4 linked regions of the Callithrix jacchus genome follow. The protein of the gene in region 1 purifies or fractionates together with the protein of each later gene. This does not show direct contact. Links are inferred from orthologs where the notes say so. Each region holds a gene or a part of one and is shown in the gene's direction. Other genes may lie near its edges.

What was found. Proteins that work in one complex are often made in the same cells at the same time.
Region 2: the proteins of CAMKV (region 1) and GPATCH8 purify together in Homo sapiens (affinity purification with mass spectrometry; 3 studies listed by BioGRID and IntAct, counting the BioPlex papers as one, with this or other methods). This does not show direct contact. The link is inferred for Callithrix jacchus from reciprocal best matches to the Homo sapiens genes CAMKV and GPATCH8.
Region 3: the proteins of CAMKV (region 1) and NAF1 purify together in Homo sapiens (affinity purification with mass spectrometry; 3 studies listed by BioGRID and IntAct, with this or other methods). This does not show direct contact. The link is inferred for Callithrix jacchus from reciprocal best matches to the Homo sapiens genes CAMKV and NAF1.
Region 4: the proteins of CAMKV (region 1) and PNISR purify together in Homo sapiens (affinity purification with mass spectrometry; 3 studies listed by BioGRID and IntAct, counting the BioPlex papers as one, with this or other methods). This does not show direct contact. The link is inferred for Callithrix jacchus from reciprocal best matches to the Homo sapiens genes CAMKV and PNISR.

What each region holds. Positions count from the first base shown.
Region 1 is NC_133516.1:32,471,861-32,476,977, reverse strand, and holds part of CAMKV (caM kinase-like vesicle-associated protein), read left to right. Parts: intron 1-1,490; 5' UTR 1,491-1,504; coding exon 1,505-1,599; intron 1,600-1,721; coding exon 1,722-1,853; intron 1,854-2,032; coding exon 2,033-2,107; intron 2,108-2,321; coding exon 2,322-2,460; intron 2,461-2,601; coding exon 2,602-2,722; intron 2,723-2,889; coding exon 2,890-2,965; intron 2,966-3,055; coding exon 3,056-3,192; intron 3,193-3,358; coding exon 3,359-3,437; intron 3,438-3,647; coding exon 3,648-3,735; intron 3,736-4,024; coding exon 4,025-4,579; 3' UTR 4,580-5,117. UniProt on the Homo sapiens protein: Does not appear to have detectable kinase activity.
Region 2 is NC_133506.1:71,235,223-71,239,879, reverse strand, and holds the end of GPATCH8 (G patch domain-containing protein 8), read left to right. Parts: coding exon 1-734; 3' UTR 735-3,089; downstream 3,090-4,657.
Region 3 is NC_133504.1:32,765,503-32,770,517, forward strand, and holds part of NAF1 (H/ACA ribonucleoprotein complex non-core subunit NAF1), read left to right. Parts: intron 1-2,520; coding exon 2,521-2,969; 3' UTR 2,970-4,399; coding exon of another isoform or gene 4,400-4,533; 3' UTR 4,534-5,015. UniProt on the Homo sapiens protein: RNA-binding protein required for the maturation of box H/ACA snoRNPs complex and ribosome biogenesis.
Region 4 is NC_133505.1:105,435,316-105,440,432, reverse strand, and holds part of PNISR (arginine/serine-rich protein PNISR), read left to right. Parts: intron 1-833; coding exon 834-933; intron 934-1,649; coding exon 1,650-1,703; intron 1,704-2,838; coding exon 2,839-3,009; intron 3,010-3,930; coding exon 3,931-5,017; intron 5,018-5,117.

The sequences.
Region 1 (5,117 bases):
CTTTGGGAAGCTGAGGCAGGAGGATCACTTGAGCCCAGGAGTTCGAGAACAGCCTGGGAAACATAATAAAATCGTGTATCTATAAAAAAATTTGAAAAATTAGCCAGGTGTGATGGTGTGCACCTGTGGTTCGGTCCTAGCTACTCAGGATGCTGAGGTGGAAGGATCCCTTGAGCCCAGGAGGTTGAGGCTGCAGTGAGCTGTGATCGTGCCACTGCATTCCAGCCTGGGTGACAGAACAGCTGGGCATAGTGTGGGTGCTTATAATCCCAGCTGCGGTGGGAAGATCGTTTGAATTCAGAAGTTCTGGGCTGTAGCGCACTATGCCAGTTGGGTGTCTACACCCAGTTTGGCATTAGTATGGTGACTTCCCGGGACCTGGAGATCATCGGGTTGCCTAAGCAGGGGTGAAACTACCCAGGTCAGAAACAAAGCAGGTCAAAACTCCTGTGCTGATCAGTAGTGTGCTTGTGCCCACGAATAGCCACTGCACTCCAGCCTGGGCAACACAGCAATAACTGTCTCTAAAAAAAGCAAGCAAGCAAGAAAGAAAAGAAATAGGTCTTCCAGAATCCCCCCATGTGTCCTAATTCAATCATAACCCCTCCTTTTCTCTTATAAGGGACTATTATCTGACTCTGCTTATTTCCTAGCTTTTCTTTATAGCTCTACTGCTGTGTTTGTGTCCCCAGTATGGGTTTGTTCTGCCTATTTGAACTCTCTATCAATAGACTCATACTATATGTATTCTTTTGTGTTTTTTTTGCACTTAACACTGTGTAAGAGTCACCATGTGGTTGGGTATAGCTGAAGCTTTTTCTTTCCATTGCTGTATACTATTCCATTGTGTGACTCTACCACAATATATCCTGTCGGTGGTGGTATCTGGTCTGTTTTCAATTTTTGGCGATTATGTATATGGCCACTATGAGCATTCTTGTATGACTGTCCTGATGCACGAATGTGTGTACTTCTGTAGGCACGTATTAGGAGTGTAATTACTGCTTTACAGGGTATGTTTGTTTGACTTTAGTGGTTTTACCAAACTGCTTTACAAAGGGGAGGTTGCCCTCTCCTAGCAGTGCTCACGTTCTTCATACCTTCATTAACACTTGTTAGCTCTAGACCTTCAGAGATGACTAGCAGGTGGGTGGGTGATTATAGCTCCCTTAATCTGTGAAATAGCTGAAATTTAAATAAGCTGTTTGATAAGTCTTTTTTTAAAATGTATAGAATGCAAAACTATTCCCTTACATATCAGTTTATTTTTCCTATGTGGGCTATTGTAGTTCAGGCAGCCAAGCTGAGTAGCTGAATGTATGGCCAGAAAAGCAGGGGTAGGATCTGAGTTTGCCTGTTTTCTAGCCCTTCCGGGTATGGTCTCTGCTCCTGGTTTGGCCTTAGCCAGGTTGGGGTCTCCCAAAGGCAGCCCCTATGTTGTGGGGAGGTGGAGAGTAGTATAGTTAAGCCAGATCCCCTTGTGCCTGCAGGTTAGAGCCCGGCAATGCCGTTTGGGTGTGTGACTCTGGGCGACAAGAAGAACTATAACCAGCCGTCAGAAGTGACTGACAGATATGATTTGGGACAGGTCATCAAGACGTGAGTGCTGGGCTGGGCCTGTCAGGCAGGGCTGGGTGGGCTGGTGGGCAAGGGCTAGGGAAGTGGGAGTGGAGTGCAGCTGACGCTAAGGCCAGGGCTGAGTGGGTGCCTGTCGGCTGCAGTGAGGAGTTCTGTGAAATCTTCCGGGCCAAGGACAAGACAACAGGCAAGCTGCACACCTGTAAGAAGTTCCAGAAGCGGGACGGCCGCAAGGTGCGGAAAGCTGCCAAGAACGAGATAGGCATCCTCAAGATGTGAGTTTGAGGCCTGGGGTTGGGGTGGTGTGGGAAGCAAGAGGGAAGGGCTTAGAGGGCAAGTGGCCTCAGGTAGTCCCAGCTTCTGGCCAGTTAGTCTGCAGTGGCCACTGTGGTGACAAGAGTCTCTCCCAGGGGTTCATCCAGCTCTAACTACTGGCTCCCCTCCCTGTCGCCAGGGTGAAGCATCCCAACATCCTGCAACTGGTGGATGTGTTTGTGACCCGCAAGGAGTATTTCATCTTCCTGGAGCTGTGAGTGTGGGTCTGGGGTACCAGGATTCCTCAGTGCCCAGGGCCTTTACCTGTCCCACCCCCTGCAGCTAAGGAGACCCCCTTTTCTGGACCCTTGGGGTCCCAGGTCCCTGTGCCTTGCTCAGCCAGCTGCCTGGCATAGACAGCTCACCCAAGTGCTCCTGCCCCACCCCCAATTCCGCCCACGCCAGGCTCAGGGGCTGGTGTCCCTCAGGGCCACGGGGAGGGAGGTGTTTGACTGGATCCTGGACCAGGGCTACTACTCTGAGCGAGACACGAGCAACGTGGTACGGCAGGTCCTGGAGGCCGTGGCCTACTTGCACTCACTCAAGATCGTGCACAGGAACCTCAAGGTGAGGCCAGAGCCATAGTCAAAGGGCCAGTTGGCAGCTGGGCTGGGGTGGGGTGGGCAGCACCTTGGGGCCTTGGTCTAGCCTCCGAGGCCCTCATGGTGTCTTCTGCTCTGGTGCTCACATGTTATTCTCACACCACAGCTGGAGAACCTTGTTTACTATAACCGGCTGAAAAACTCGAAGATTGTCATCAGTGACTTCCATCTGGCTAAGCTAGAAAATGGCCTCATCAAGGAGCCCTGTGGGACCCCCGAGTATCTGGGCAAGCAGGGGGTGGGGCAGGGGCAGGGGCAGGAGGAGAATGGGGGGCAGGCTTCAGGGAGCTGCTCTGAGCAGGGGGAAAATGTGCTTATCTCAAGAAGTGGTTGTGGATGGTACTGGACCTGGCTAGGCCTGATACTGACCAGCAGATGGGTGCTGTGTTTGTAGCCCCGGAGGTGGTAGGCCGGCAGCGGTATGGACGCCCTGTGGACTGCTGGGCCATTGGAGTCATCATGTACATCCTGTGAGTGGACACATGGACAAGCAGACTTGCAGTCAGATGGGGTGGGAGTGTGTGTCTGTGGCCTTTCTGTGTGACCCTTCCCCCATGCAGGCTTTCAGGCAACCCACCTTTTTATGAAGAGGTGGAAGAAGATGACTATGAGAACCATGATAAGAATCTCTTCCGCAAGATCCTGGCTGGTGACTATGAGTTTGACTCTCCATATTGGGATGATATTTCGCAGGCAGGTGAGGAGGTGACTGCCCAGCACTTGGTAAGAGTGCACAGCAGTGGGTAGGGTTCCTGCTCTCGGTTTCCTCTGTGGGATTCTGCTTCTGTCCCCCAGCCCATTCATCACCTCTAGACATTGAGATGGAGTGCCCATGCCTAGCCCCTCTTTGGTTTTGTTCACAGCCAAAGACCTGGTCACAAGGCTGATGGAGGTGGAGCAAGACCAGCGAATCACTGCAGAAGAGGCCATCTCCCATGAGTGGTGAGCAGGGCCTAAGGGAGGGTGGGAGAGGCCAGAGTCCCCCTTACACCTAGCAGCCCCATTTTTGAGGCCTGAGGGGATACAGGCACCTAGAGCTCAGGCCCACCCAGAGATTCTACCTGGTAGTCCCTGGATGCCACATGAAAGAGGTGGGCAGAGTCTCCACAAGGCTCATCCCCTCAGATCCAGACACACTTGCACCCTTTCCAGGATTTCTGGCAATGCTGCTTCTGATAAGAACATCAAGGATGGTGTCTGTGCCCAGATTGAAAAGAACTTTGCCAGGGCCAAGTGGAAGGTAAGGCTTGGATAGCTCTCTTCTTGGCTCTATCCCAAGTATTCCTTCTGGCATTCAGCTTGTTGCCTGCATCACACCCCTGCAGCCACACACAAGCTTTACTCAGGCCATCAGGTGTGGGTGTAGCCACTGTCATTATCTTAAGTAGGAGTGCTGAGCAGCTGGGTATTTGGCCCTGGGGTGGTTGGAGACAGCCAGGGGTACTATGGAAGGGGTTTGGTTTGGTCACTGCCATGCAATGGATCCAGCAAGCCTTACCCTTAGCCTTTCTCCACTGTGCTCCTTTCAGAAGGCTGTCCGAGTGACCACCCTCATGAAACGGCTCCGAGCGCCAGAGCAGTCCAGCATGGCTGCAGCACAGTCAGCCTCAGCAGCAGACACTGCCACCCCTGGGGCTACAGGTGGGGCCACAGCTGCAGCTGTGAGTGGAGCTACCTCAGCCCCTGAGGGTGATGCTGCTCGTGCTGCAAAGAGTGATAATGTGGCCCCCGCAGACCGTAGTGCCACCCCAGCCACAGATGGAAGTGCCACTGATGGCAGTGTCACCCCAGCCACCGATGGAAGCATCACCCCAGCCACTGATGGGAGTGTCACCCCAGCCACTGACAGGAGCACTACTCCAGCCATTGATGGGAGAGCCACACCAGCCACAGAAGAGAGCACTGTGCCCACCACCCAAAGCAGTGCCACACTGGCCACCAAGGCAGCTGCCACCCCTGAGCCGGCTATGGCCCAGCCGGACAGCACAGCCCCAGAGGGCGCCACAGGCCAGGCTCCACCCTCCAGTAAAGGGGAAGAGGCTGCTGGTTATGCCCAGGAGTCTCAAAGGGAGGAGACCAGCTGAGTAGGCAGCCTGGTGAGGGGGGGCGGGGGATGGGCAGAAGGGTGGAAGAGTGAATGAGGGGCTTCTTGTACATAGAGTCACTGGCATGATGCCCTCGCTCCCCCATGCCCCCGCATCCCAGTGGGGCATACCTAGGGGTCACGGGAGAGCAGTCTCGTCTCCTGTGTGTATGTGTGTGAGTGGTGGGCAGGCCAGAGGCAGGGCCGGCCCCAGCCCCTGCATGGATTCCTTGTGGCTTTTCTGTCTTCTGCTAGCTTCACCAGTTTCTGTTCCTTGTGGGATGCTGCTCTAGGGATACTCAGGAGGCTCCTGCTCTCCTTCCCCTTCCCTTCTTGCCTCACCATTCCCCCAGGCAGGCCCTGCAGGTCCCACACTCTCCCAGGCCCTAAATTTGGGTGGCCTTGCCCTGAGAGCTGGTCCTCCAGCGAGGCCCTGTCAGCGGTCTTAGGCTCCTGCACATGAAGGTGTGTGCCTGTGGTGTGTGGGTTGCTCTAGGAGCGGATACAGGCTGGTATAGAGGATGCAGAAAGGTAGGGGA
Region 2 (4,657 bases), on another chromosome or scaffold:
GCAGTCAACCAGGCCCTCTGGAATCCAGCTTGCTGCCTATAGCACCAGACCTTGAGCATTTTGCCAGTTATGTGCCTCCCAGTGGAGATCCTAGTATTGAGTCAACAGATGGGGCTGAGGATGCTTCACTGGCCCCCCTGGAGAGCCAGCCCATCACCTTCACCCCTGAGGAGATGGAGAAGTACAGCAAGCTCCAACAGGCTGCACAGCAACACATCCAACAGCAGCTTCTGGCCAAGCAAGTAAAGGCCTTTCCAGCCTCAGCTGCGCTGGCCCCAGCCACACCAGCCCTGCAGCCCATCCACATTCAGCAGCCAGCTACAGCCTCTGCCACCTCCATCACAACTGTTCAGCATGCCATCCTACAACATCATGCTGCAGCAGCTGCTGCTGCCATTGGCATTCACCCCCACCCCCATCCCCAACCACTTGCCCAGGTGCATCATATTCCCCAGCCCCATCTGACTCCCATTTCCTTGTCCCACCTCACTCACTCAATCATCCCTGGCCACCCTGCCACCTTTCTCGCTAGCCATCCCATCCACATCATTCCTGCCTCAGCCATCCATCCTGGGCCGTTCACCTTTCACCCTGTCCCACATGCTGCCCTCTACCCCACCCTACTTGCCCCACGGCCTGCTGCAGCAGCTGCCACCGCCCTCCACCTTCACCCACTACTTCACCCCATCTTCTCAGGTCAGGACCTGCAGCATCCTCCCAGCCATGGCACATGAGTTGGGGATGGGATCCTATGTAGGGCCAGGGAAGGAGAACCATAAATGTTCCCTTGGGGGTGTTGAGCCATTAATACCAGCAAATAGAAGCTGGGATGGGCAGTGTCTGGCAGCCAAAGAATTGAGTTTTGGCTTGCAGGGGTGGGTTTAGATTTGAAGTTTGCTTTGAGTTTACTATCAGGGATTTCTTTTTTCCTGTCATCCTCTCAATTTGTCTCTCCCTCTCCTGTGTTTCCAAGCTAGGGAACACCAGTAAGTGCTACCCACCCCTCTGCAGCAACATCTCCTAACTGTCAAGTTTAGATAATTCCTTCCTCCTTTTGCTTTTTATCCTCTGCTCTTCCCTTCTGTAAATTTTTAAACATTTTCCTCCTCTCTGGGCAGTGGGTTGTCACCAAAGCACTTGCTGTGGGCCCGTCTGATCTTGCCTTCTCAGTGCCACAAGGAAGGCCAAGTTGTTCTCGTGGTGAAAGTGCCACCACTTTGGGGTAGTATCTTTGACCATCCTTGGTGACCTTATGTTACCCCAGGTGAGATGGAAAGGGAGTCTGACCTGGAACCTGATGCAACTCAGGCTGCAATTCGATCCAGCCCCACATAAATGGAGCCACACATTTGGCACTGTTATCCTGATGTCCCTCACTCCAGAGGAGGCATCTCCATATCCCAGAAAAGGAGATCCTATCATGAATAGAAGCTCTGCGGAATATACAGTTGCCCATGTGCTTTCCCAGAGAGGAGTTCATGTGTCTGAAGTGAAGGGTATATTTTCTTGTTGTGTTGATGTTTCCTTTTTAATTTATAGGATTTTTTAATGTAAAAAATTGCACTGAACTCTATAAACGTAAATGCTGCTTTTTGTAGCTCATATAAGAAAGGTTCCATATTTGTAGTATACTGCAATAATATTTTTTACATCCAGCTCTTTAAGTGATCCTCGTTCTGGTGGCTTTGTGTAAATATGTTTGCCTTAGTTGAATTAAGAAACTTTAAAGGTTATAAAATGAAAACAAAAAATAAAAGTATTTGTTTTCTGCTAGGTGCAAAAGTGACTAAGCATGTATATTTTACCAAGCTCCTGTATTTTTTGAAGTTAAGAACTATAAAATGTTAAAACATTTTTTGTTGGGACAAAATGTTAAGTAATTTGTAGTAAGTAGTGCCCCCAGTATTGGGATTTTTGAGCTAATGGGCAGCGGTCAGCTTGGGGCTTCCAAGGGAGGCTCATCTTTGACAGTCTCCCTTGGGTACTTTTGTTGTTTTACACAGAGAAGCCAGTGGACCCCACAGAAGAGAAGGAGGGGACTCAACAGCTTTATTGACTGAATCTCACTGCAGTGACATGCCGTGATTTTCTGGGGGGATCCTGGGTTTCCCTGAGTAACTTGTTCCAGGCAGTCAGTCTGTTTGCCTTCCTAGTACTTAGCCTCCTCTGACAGTTTTTTTTTTTTTAATGTGCCTTTTGGGTTGTTAGAAACCGAAGTAGAAGTAGACTGGAGGATGAGTTGGAACAGTCTTCTTCCTTTTATTGGGAGGTGAGCACATTTATAGATACTTCAAATTATTTTGCTTCATAGTTTCCACGTCCTCTGCCCAGCTCAGTTTAAGCAGTAAACGTTCCTTGTTTCTTTTCTCCCATGACACTGACCAGCGTAATTACCACCTAAGCCTCTTTCACCCCTCTCCTTGCCTTTCATCCAGGCCCTCAGCCCTAATTAACACACTGACCCAAAGGTGCTTGTATTGCAGGTTCCATCTCCTTTGATGAGTTTAACAATTCCCTCTGTGGCATTTTCCTAACTATTCGTGTAGCTAGAATTGGCTGGGTGGTCACTTGGTAAGAAAAACTTCACTTACCTGGGCTAAGGCTCTGTGTTCCTGCCTTCTCAAATTCTCAAAAGAGAAAGGTTTTGAGTTTATGAGAAGAAAGTGCCAGGCAAACACAACTCTTGACTGCCCTCCCACCCTCCTACCTATTCAGTGCTCCTCGTCTGATTCAGAAGCATCACTTCTTGGATAACTAGCACTGGAAAAGCAACATCATCTGTGTAATTGAAGGGACTCATTTTTCTTTGCTTTCAGCCCATGTAAATATTTAAATAATACAGTATTAACATTTTGTGCTGCTTCCCATTAGCTTGTAGATTGAGCCATACTCTGGCTGCCTCTTTGCCTTCCTAGGGGCATTTTCCTTAACTTCCAGAATAGTGATTTTAAAACTTAAAAAAACAAACAAAATAACCTATCCTTACTTACAAGCATAACAGATTGTATTTAACTTTATCACATATGATAGAGATATATGCTGTAAAATGAGGGAAAGGAACTTTCTAATAAACCAATGATTTGTGGAAACTTAGCAGTGTCTGTCGTAATTGTTGCCCCATCCACTCAGCACTGGGTAGGGTTGGAAGTGTGGGTCAGAAATAACATCTTGTTTGAAGTGACCAAGGAACAGATCCTGTGAACCAGTTTGAGTTGTTTGCAGTTGTGCGTCTGAAAGCTTAGGCTACACAAAGAGAGGAAAGATCTTGGTGTGGGAGGAGGTAATAGTAGTTAATTTCTCTCAGTTGTAGGTAGATGTCTTGGAATGTACACCTCCTTTCCACTTCGTCTTTCACACAAGAGTTTTCTTCCATTTTAGATAGCTAATCTGTGTGTAGTAGTGTATATATAGGTGCTTACTAAATGGGTGTGGAATTTCTGGCATTGAATTTTAGGATTTTGAACTACTTTAAAAGCACTGAGATGAGAAGAATCATCTGCCAGGATTTTGTCCTCCAGGTGGAGTTCTGTAAGCCAGTCTTCAATTTCTCTCCTCAGCCTTTTAATACCACTACAATGTTTGAGCACCTCTACCTGGTGAAAAGAAATACGGCCTAATTGTTACTAAGAAGATAAAGCTCCTACTCTTCTTCCATCTCAAAAAAAAATCACAAAAGAGGCAGGCAAAATTTAGCATGGAAAGCTACCATAGATTTGTAGTGATAAATGAGTTTTCCCTCTCAACTTCAGCCCTTCAAGAAGGAAAGCCTTTCTTTCTTTTGATACATTTCTTTTCTACTCTCTCATACACCTGTGTTCTCCCCTTGATTAAAGAGAAGCTGTTCAACTTGAACCTGGGGTTGAATGCTCAGATCTGCCTGTATTCCCAAAATAGCAAAGATCCTTACCCAGAAAGAAGTGACATTAGACATACAAAAATTAGCCGGGCATGGTGGTGCACACCTGTAATCCCAGTTACTTGAGAGGCTGAGGCAGGAGAATCACTTGAACCCAGGAGGCGGAGGTTGAGCCAGGATCGCACCACTGAACTCCAGCATGGGCAGCAGAGCAAGACCCTGTCTCTCTCTCTCTCACACACACACACACACACACACACAATGACATTAGAAAATGAAAAATGAGGCCAGGGGTGGTGGCTCATGTCTAATCCCAGCACTTTGGAAGGCCAAGGCGGGTTGATCACTTGAAGTTTGAGATCAGCCTGGCCAACATGGTGAAACCCCGTCTCTACTAAAAATTAAAAAAAAAAAAAAAAACTTGGCCGGGCATAGTGGTGCATGCCTGTAATTCCAGCTACTCAGGAGGCTGAGGCAGGAGAATCACTTGAATGTGGGAGGTGAAGGTTACAGTTAGCTGAGATTATGCCACTGCACATCCAGCCTGGGTGACAGTGAGACTCTGTCTCAAAAAAAAAAATGATTTTCTGGGAGCAGGGGAGGTGACAAGTCAGAGACAGACTGAACTGTATAGAGTGTTATGTGAAGGTATGTGCAATGAATTGCATTCTGACAAGGCCTCATCCACCTTGGCCTGAAACATGAAGTACTCCCTCTTCTACACCCTTGACTAATTCAGGCCTTATCAGCCATTTCCCTTTTTATTTGCCAGAGATAGCTTCACTCACTTCTACCAACTCA
Region 3 (5,015 bases), on another chromosome or scaffold:
TTTTTGAGATGGAGTTTTGCTCTTGTTTACCCAGGCTGGAATGCAATGGCGCGATCTTGGCTCACTGCAACCTCCGTGTCCTGGGTTCAGGCAATTCTCCTGCCTCAGCCTCCTGAGTAGCTGGGATTACAGGCACGCACCACCATGCCCAGCTAATTTTTTGTATTTTTAGTAGAGACAGGGTTTCACCATGTTGACCAGGATGGTCTCGATCTCTTGACCTCGTGATCCACCCGCCTTGGCCTCCCAACGTGCTGGGATTACAGGCTTGAGCCACCGCGCCCGGCCCTATTTTGCCCATTTTTAAATACTATTTCTGGATTTTTACTGTCGAGTTTTGAGAATTTAAAAATGTATACTTTAGATATACTAGCTTTCTGTCAGATACATGATTTGTTCATAATTTGTTCTAGTCTATAATCTTTTCCCCCTTTTAAGAGGTCCTCTTGCAAGACTAAAGGTTTTAGTTTGGAGGAAAATTAATTTATCAGTTTTGTTTATGGAATCTAAGAACTTCCTGCTTAGCTTTAGATCCTAATGATTTTCTTCTATTTTTTTTCCTAAAAGTTTTGTAGTCTTCTGTTTTACATTTTACACTTGCGATTCATTTTGAGGTAAATTTGTGTAGAAAGCGAAGTTAGTCTTGAAATTGCTTAGAGTGATAACTCCTACTTTATTTCTGTTTTTAAAAATTATTAGTGATATTCTAGGTCTTTTACCTTTCAGTATAAATTTTAGAATGTTCTGTACATCAACAAATATCTTGCTGAGGTTTTTTTTTTTGTTTGCCTGTTTTTTGAGGTTCATGCTCTGTTGCCCAGGCTAGAATGCAGCGGTACAATCATAGCTCACTGTAACCTTGAACTCTTGAGCTTTAGTCTTTCATTTTTCTGACTGACAGTATCTTTTGTTTATCAGAAATTTTTAAGTTTAATGAAATTCAGCGAATCGATTCTTTCTTTCATTTATCATGCCTTTGGTGTCCTATCTAGAAAGTCAGTATCAACTCAGGGTCATCTGTATTTTCTTCTCTGTTATCTTTTAGGAATTTTGTAATTCTGCACTTTACATTGAGGTCTGTGATTCATTTTGAATTAATTCTTATGAATGGTGTAAGGCTATTGTCTAGATTTATTTTTTGCATATGGATGTCCTGGTGTTCCAGCCCTATTTGTTGAAAAGACTACTTCTGCTCTGTTGTATTGCTTTTGCTCTTTTGTTAAATATCAGTTGATTATGTTTTATGGGTTTGTTTTTGTACTTTCTATTTTGTCCTATTGATTTATTTGTCTCTTTCACCAGTACCTCACTGCTGTGATATCTGAAGCATTATAATAAGTCTTGAAGTTGGATAGTTTCAGTCCTCCAGCTTTATTCTTCTCCTTCAATATTCTATTGTTTTTTTTTTCTTTGTTTGTTTGTTTTTGGTTGTTGTAATGCTCATTTCTGAAATTTCAATTTGTTCTTTTATCTTCGTTTTTTTTTGCTAAAACTTTGTAATTTTAATTTAGAATGTTCATAATATCTTGTTGAAACATTTTTATGACTGCTTTACTATCTTTCATAATTCTAAGATCTTTGTGATGCCCTTGGTTGATTTTTTTTTTTAATTGAATGAAATCTTCCTGGCTCTTTTTGTAATGAGCCCCTTTTTTTTAACTGAAACTTGGGTGTTTTGAGTAATATATTACAAGACCATGGATCTTATGTAAATCTTCTGTTTTAGCTGGGTTTGTTGTTTTATCTTCTTTGTTTTGTTTTTTAAAATACTACTCTGGCAGTGAAAGAATAGGGTAGATTGAAGTCTAGGAATTCCTATTAGCCTCTTTTGACACCTTTGGCCAAGGAGAGCCTTGTTACTGCTAGATGAGGGTAGAAGTTCTGACATCCCATAGGGTCTTTTCTTATTCCTGGAGGGACAGGAGTACTTTGTCACTACTCCCCATATGGCATGCAGTAACACCAGTGGAGGATGGCCTTGTTATCAACTGTGTGGGGACAAAAATCCTAACTCTTACTCAGTCTTCTCTGACATTACCCCAGTGTAAAAGATGGAAGAACACTGTGTTGCTGCCAGTAGAGGTGGAAGTTCAGGTTCCCCATGTGATGTTTACTGCCATTGCGGGGAGGCCTTATTACCCATACCGTGTTCAGCTTGTTCCTGATGCTACTGTGGTAGAAGGGTTGGATCGCTCATTACTGCCTGTCAAGGACAGAAGTCTAAGATCTGTACTCAGCCTTTGAGAGTGTGTAGAGATGGTGCCACGTTTTCTTCTCTGGTGTTTGGCTGGAGTAGAATAGTTATTGTCTAAGTGTTTTCTGTCTTGCTAGGTTCTCTTTCTTTGGCATTAAGTTTTGTCTTTTCAGTTCCTTTAAAATTGATTATTTTAAGACATACTCTTTTAACTGCCATAAGATATACTAGATAATAAAGAAAAAGCATAATTAAACTTTCAAACAGTGCTTTTTGATATATTAAACTTATTTTCATTTTTATGTTTTCCCTCCCCTCACTCAAAGGTGAAGATTTTGCTGAAGTACATCAGAATTGGAATGCTCATAGCTCTGCTTCAGAACATTCAAAAGGATATCGCAACAGAGAATTCACACGAGGATTTTCCAGGAGCAGATACCCTCGATTTTGCCATGGCAGGCCTCTACCTCAGCAGTTCTATAACTCAGAACATATGGTATCTCAGGAGACTTCAGGATTTCCTTCCCAGAGACAAGATAATCCCATTATGCCACAATACCCCTTTCCCCCTCCAATGTTTGATATGCATAATTTTTCACTCTGCCCACCACCTCCACCACCCCCACCTGTAAACATGCGTTGGGCTACACCAAACATGGCAGCTCATCCATTACTTAACTTACCATACTCCCTACCCCCACCTCCTCCCCCTCCACCGCTGCCTCCTCCACCCTCTTCTGGAGATAGTAATTCTCATTTTGGACCTTACTATTAGGTGACTATGCATTTCTAGAGAAATGTGGACTTGTCATATTATGTAGTAAGGATTTTTTTTTTTTTAAGAAAAAGTGATTATAGAGCTAGATTTTTAAAAACACTGTTAAATACTAAATAATTCCTTCTGTTTAAGTTGATATATATTTGTAGCCTTTGTGAAACTGTATTCATATGAAAATTTCAGCTCAGATTCTTGGGAGAACATTAAATTATGTGATATTTAAGTAAAATTTTGAATTCATGCCTTCTCCCACCCAAACCCACCCAGTTAAACTATATATATAAAATAATGGGTATGGAATAAGTTTCATCATGGGTAAAATATATGGAGCACATTGATTTTCTTGCTATAATCTGAAAATAAGATGAAGTCCTTTTGAGAGTCTTTATTTTTATAAATGTTTACCTTAGAAATCAATTTTAATTATAAATGTAATTTGCAAATAAATTTAAATGACTATAATTTTTCTTTTTAAAGCAGTTGAAGGGTGTAGAGGAGGAAATTCTTAGATATTGGTAGAAGCTCTGATTATAGCTAAAGTAAATATTTATTATGCATAGGCAGGCTTCTGTTATCTGTGCAATTTCCTTTATTTAGGCACCTGTTCTGAAGGCTTTACTATTTAACCTCCTAAAAGTGATACAAAGATTATTCACAATAAGATCTATTTAGGGATTTCATCTTCCATATTTGTTTCCCAGATACTCACTAGGTTCAATAAATAACAAGTATTTATTGAATATCTTAATTTAGAGTTTTTAATTAAATGAGTAATGACTACTGTTTTATATTATGAAGTGTCAATGTAAGGGAAATTACGGGTTTTAGAACTGGAAGAGGCCATTGAAATACTCTAGTTTTCATTTAATAAATGAGGAGCCCAAGTGTCCCAAAGAGGTTAATTTAACTAAGAACACTCAGCTAGTGAGTTGATGAAGAATTGGACCTGCATCTCCTGGTTTTCTGATTAGCATTTCCCACTGAATAGATGGTTCCCAGTCTTTCATTCCTTAACACACTTTTGTATGGCACATTGGAATAGACTAGATACCACTTAGCAGAAACCCATTTACTCTGGTTGCACTGAGGCCCCACTTTTTTTCCCCATGAGCTGAGGGGACTCTGCAGCATTCCTAGTACACAAGTTGAGAGGCTCTGCCTTGGTATGTATTAACTTTATCTTGTGAGTACTTTCTTCATTATCTTTTGAAATGTTTTTGGAACTTTAAGTTACCTTCACAGGTTAGCACAACCTTTTAATGATTTGGTAGAATACTATAAGAGTTTATGAGATTGTATCTAAAAGCACTAAAGGAAAAACACAAAACCCTTTTCCACAAGAATGGGAACAATTACATGTTATTATTAGACATCAAGCTGTTCTGATCATCACGGCATTTGAAAACCTGTCCATTTCTGTACCTCAGGTACAGGTTTACCTCATAGATTCTGTGGCTTCAGATCCAGATCACTACAGTTAAGTCAGTCACACAAAGTTGGTTTCCAAATGCATATAAAAGTTAGGTTTGTGCTCTACTGTAGTTTATTAAGTGTGCAATAGCATTGTGCCTGTAAAAACCAAATGTGTTTATCTCAGTTTAAGAATATTTTACTGTTAAAAAGTAACGATGACCTTCAGAGCCTGCAGTGAGTTGTAATCTTTTAATTGGTGGAGAATCTGGCCTCAGTGTTCTTGGTGGCTGACTGATCAGGGTGGTGGTTGCTGAAGGTGGCAGTTTCTCCTAATAGACAGCAATGAAGTTTGCTGCATTAATTGACTCATCGTTTCACCAAAGATTTCTGTGTAGCATGTGATGCTACTTGATAGCATTTTACTGTCTGTAAAATTTTGAAATTTGGGATTGGTTCTTAAACCCTGTCACTGCTTTATCAACTAAGAAGTTTATGTAACATTGTAAGTCCTTTGTTACCATTTCAGTAATGTACTTGGCATCTTCACCTTGAGTAGCCTTTACTTGAGAAAGCTCATTTTTTCTCATCTTTAAGAAGTAACTAATCTATTCCAGTTTTTTCATGAGATTA
Region 4 (5,117 bases), on another chromosome or scaffold:
TTGATTTCAGGCTGGGGTAATCTTAGTTTCAGGGAGCCGAGACAGGAGAATTGCTTAAGTCCAGGAGTTTGAGACCAGCCTGGGCAATACAGTGAGAAATTGTCTCTATAGAAAATTAGCCAGGCATAGTGAGGTGCACCTATAGTCCCAGCAACTCAGGAGGCTATGGTGGGAGGATTGTTTGAGCCTGGGAAAGCAGAAGTTAACAGTGAGCCTAGGTGGTGCCAATGCCTTTCAGCCTGGGTGACAGAGTGAGACCCTGTCTCAGAAAAAAAGAAAGAAAAAAGTGTTTTGAATTCAGTGTCTATGCTATAAAGATATATTTATAATATTTTTTTCTTTGATCCATATGATTTTGGAATTTTTTTGAAGTTTTGATATAACAGAAAAATGTTCAAGATGTTTATTCCTTGGAATGGCTGCTCTGATGTCTAAAAATATTTTATAAAATGGCTTTGCTATTGGGCACCGTGGCTCACACCACAATCCCAGCACTTTGGGAGGTCAAGGCAGGCAGATCACTTGAGATCAGGAGTGGAAGACCAGCCTGGCCAACATGGTGAAACCCTGTTTCTACTAAAAATACAAAAATTACCTGGATATGGTGTTACATGCCGATAGTCTCAGCCACTTGGGAGACTGAGGCAAGAGAGTCACTTGAACCCTGGAGGTGGGGTTGTAGTGAGCCAATATACCACTACGATCCAGCCTGGGCAACAGAGTGAGACTCTGTCTGGGGAAATAAAAGGCTTTTTGTTTTAATATTTTCGAAAATGTCATACTACTAGTAACTATAGTAATTAGAAATACTGTATAAAATACTCTTTTTTTAGATGTTGCTGACAAAAATGCTTCTGACAGAAATTCTACTCGATGTCACAGATGAAGAAATTTATTACGTAGCCAAAGACGCACACCGCAAAGCAACGAAAGGTATATTTTGGTGTTTTGGGTTTTGCTTTTCCTGGGATATTTTGGTTCTGATGACTATTTTGGACTTTTTTTGTTGTCCTTGTTGGATTTCTACCAGATATTCGAATATTCTCTTGCATGTTTTGACTCTTAAAGATTAGATTTGTAGACACCATATTAAAGCTATACACAACTATTTTTGTTTATCTGACCTTCCTGAGTACAAATTAGCAATCATGCTGTTGTCCTCTAAAATGTATTATGGAAAATTCCTGATGTTCAGTTTATTTCACCTGATATTTTTTTTTATAGATACCATGGCATTGGTGTATGACTTTTAATACAGTTTATTTTGACTAATGAATTTTGAATTATCAACCTACAGTTTTTAGTTTACCAGTTATCTCTTACAGAAGCAAATGATTCCCTACCCCTGTATTTTTAGTAACACTTAAAAATGTATTGAAAAAAATTATATTTCATAATCTCAGAAATAGACATACAGATATACTTGGCAACATTTTTTCTCATTATAAACCAATTTCAGCTCACATCAGAGTTATAATTTCAAAGCCAGACATGATACTGGTTTAAAATGAATGTTATGTTTTTAATGTTTCTTCTCTCCCCAAAAAGCAGCAATAGTAGTAGATTTAACAATACCGTAGACTCTCATGACTATGAAATCGTGGCTATTTGTGTTAACATGTTGTTCCTGTTGTTGATGTGATACAAAGCTCCTGCAAAACAGCTGGCACAGTCCAGTGCACTGGCTTCCCTCACTGGACTCGGTAAGTGTTTTTCATATTTGTGAGAGGGCCTAAAGGGAAAAAAATCACACATACATTGTCTCTCTACATGTTCTGTTTTGAAACTGTATTAGTCCTACTCAGTTTATAAAAACCTAGGTCTTAGGGTTATGTCAGTGTCTAAAAAGGTTTGACTATTTTTTTGACTAACGCATTCACAGTGAGAAGTTTATAAATGTGATTGTTAATTCATAGTTTATTGGGGCAAGTTATATTGGAGGCTTTCCTTATTGCTCCAATATTGCATTATATATAATTATATATGAACACCTATAGTTTGTACTTACTAATTCATAATTTAGCCATGATAGTATCTAAGCTCACTTTCAGAATTATTGCATACATGCCTTAGGGAAGAACCTATCCACTAATGCTTTCAATAACTTTTATATAGATTGTGTTGCAGCAAGTCAAGTTTAAATATAGAGGAAAGGGTTTATCTTATCATAGTATAATAGTAGTAATGTGTTCATAATTTACTATTTGCATGGAATATTATCAAGGCTGTAAAGCTTGAATTTGCCTTTTCCACAAATTCTTCATTTCAAATTAATCTTTGTGAGAACCCAGAGAAGTGGGTAGAACCAAATGCTCATGTGCTTTTATTATGTTTTTTTAGATCATTTCAGGGTGGGGAGTAGTTTCAGCACCATGATATTTCTGTAACGGGGAGATTACAGTATTCTAGTTTTTTTAGGGAAAAAACTGCTAGAGATTTCTAAACTTTGAACAATGTAAGTTAATTTTAGAAATATTTTCAGGATCATCATAAATTTCATTAAGGTAATTGAATTGATTAAGCTTTAGTGTGGCTTTGTTACTGCCCTGTTAAGAAGTTTCGTTGGTTAGCATGGACAGTACAACAAACCCATTATGATTCCTTTACAGTGAGAAAAATATGAAATATTCCAGAAAGAATAAGATAATAAGTAACCTTTGCCTGAAAGTTCTGTGAACTCCTTAAGCTTCTGAATATATACTTCTCCCCACCCCGAATAAGGATATTCTTCCGGGAAAAGGCAATGAAAAAGAAATGAGCTTTCTTCTCAGACCTTGAAAAGTTTTTAGTGCATAGTATAATTTTTTTCATGTGATAGACTGAGCTTTATGCACACAGGTGGACTGGGTGGTTATGGATCAGGAGACAGCGAAGATGAAAGGAGTGACAGAGGCTCTGAGTCATCTGACACTGATGATGAGGAATTACGGCATCGAATCCGGCAAAAACAGGAAGCTTTTTGGAGAAAAGAAAAGGAACAGCAGCTGTTACATGATAAACAGATGGAAGGTGTAGTATACCATTTAGACTTAATTTTGGTCCAGTTTTGTATTTCTTTTTATTTTTTAAACCAACCTAAAAATGTAAAAGGATAAAATAAAGGCTAGATTTTAGGTAATATGTGATATAACTGAAACTAAAGTCAAAATTTTTGTTTGGTTGTTTTAGGAGCCATTCATTGCAGTGGCTATAAGCCAAGCTATTTAGGGTATTTTTGTTTCTTGTTAAAATTTTTGAAATAAAAAAAGATGACTTTTGAAATGGTAAAAATATATTTGTAAGACTATTGAAAAGTAATTTGTAGCTAGGATATGGAAGGATAATAGAGAAGTTTTTACTTAAGATACTTTACATAATAATACTAGGAATAACAAAAGAGAAAATTTACTTAGAATTTCTTCTTTGAAAAATCTTAATTGGACAATTTGAAAGGTAATTATTGAGTGACTTTTCTATAAACCACGTATTTACCTTTACAATTTTGCTTTAATTGGACAAAAGGGAAGTGTTTTCTTACTTTCCTCACATGCACCTCTATATCTTGATACTGTATTTTGCTACACTGCCCAGGGTGGGTAACTTGACTAACTACATGTAGCTATAGAGGACTTGAAATGTGGCTAGGCATGTGCTGTAGGTATATATTACATGCTAACTTTCAAAACTTTACTTAGAAATGAGAACATCTCACTTTTTAAAAAAATTCATTATGTATTGAAGTGATAATATTTTTGGTGTATTGTGTTATTTACCTGTTTCTTTTTACTTTTTTAATGTGGTTAGTAAAAAGTCTTGAGTTACTTACATCTCTTGCATTGTAATTTTGTTGAACAGTAGTGTTCTATTGTTATAGTCTGGTAGCTTGAAATTTGGTAGTATGAAAATTTTACATTCAAATTTTCTTAGTATTTTTGTCTTTTTCTGTTTCAGAAGAAAAGCAACAAACAGAAAGGGTTACAAAAGAGATGAATGAATTTATCCATAAAGAGCAAAATAGTTTATCACTACTAGAAGCAAGAGAAGCAGACGGTGATGTGGTTAATGAAAAGAAGAGAACTCCAAATGAAACCACATCAGTTTTAGAACCAAAAAAAGAGCATAAAGAAAAAGAAAAACAAGGAAGGAGTAGGTCAGGAAGTTCTAGTAGTGGTAGTTCCAGTAGCAATAGCAGAACTAGTAGTACTAGTAGTACTGTCTCTAGCTCTTCATACAGTTCTAGCTCAGGTAGTAGTCGCACTTCTTCTCGGTCTTCTTCTCCTAAAAGGAAAAAGAGACACAGTAGGAGTAGATCTCCAACAATCAAAGCTAGACGTAGCAGGAGTAGAAGCTACTCTCGCAGAATTAAAATAGAGAGCAATAGAGCTAGGGTAAAGATAAGAGATAGGAGGAGATCTAATAGAAATAGCATTGAAAGAGAAAGACGACGAAATCGGAGTCCTTCCCGAGAGAGACGTAGGAGTAGAAGTCGCTCAAGGGATAGACGAACCAATCGTTCCAGTCGAAGTAGGAGTCGAGATAGGCGTAAAATTGATGATCAACGTGGAAATCTTAGTGGCAACAGTCATAAGCATAAAGGTGAGGCTAAAGAACAAGAGAGGAAAAAGGAGAGGAGTCGAAGTATAGATAAAGATAGGAAAAAGAAAGACAAAGAAAGGGAACGTGAACAGGATAAAAGAAAAGAGAAACAAAAAAGGGAAGAAAAAGATTTTAAGTTCAGTAGCCAGGATGATAGGTTAAAAAGGAAACGAGAAAGTGAAAGAACATTTTCTAGGAGTGGTTCTATATCTGTTAAAATCATAAGACATGATTCTAGACAGGATAGTAAGAAAAGTACTACCAAAGACAGTAAAAAACATTCAGGCTCTGATTCTAGTGGAAGGAGCAGTTCTGAGTCTCCAGGAAGTAGCAAAGAAAAGAAGGCTAAGAAGCCTAAACATAGTCGATCGCGATCCATGGAGAAATCTCAAAGGTCTGGTAAGAAGGCAAGCCGCAAACACAAGTCTAAGTCCCGATCAAGGTAGTATACTTTTTAAAGTATTTTGTCTGATTTTTTAAAAAATTTGACTGAATTAATACAAAGTTGAAAGTGTCCTTTCTCTCTCTCTTTAATAAACTCA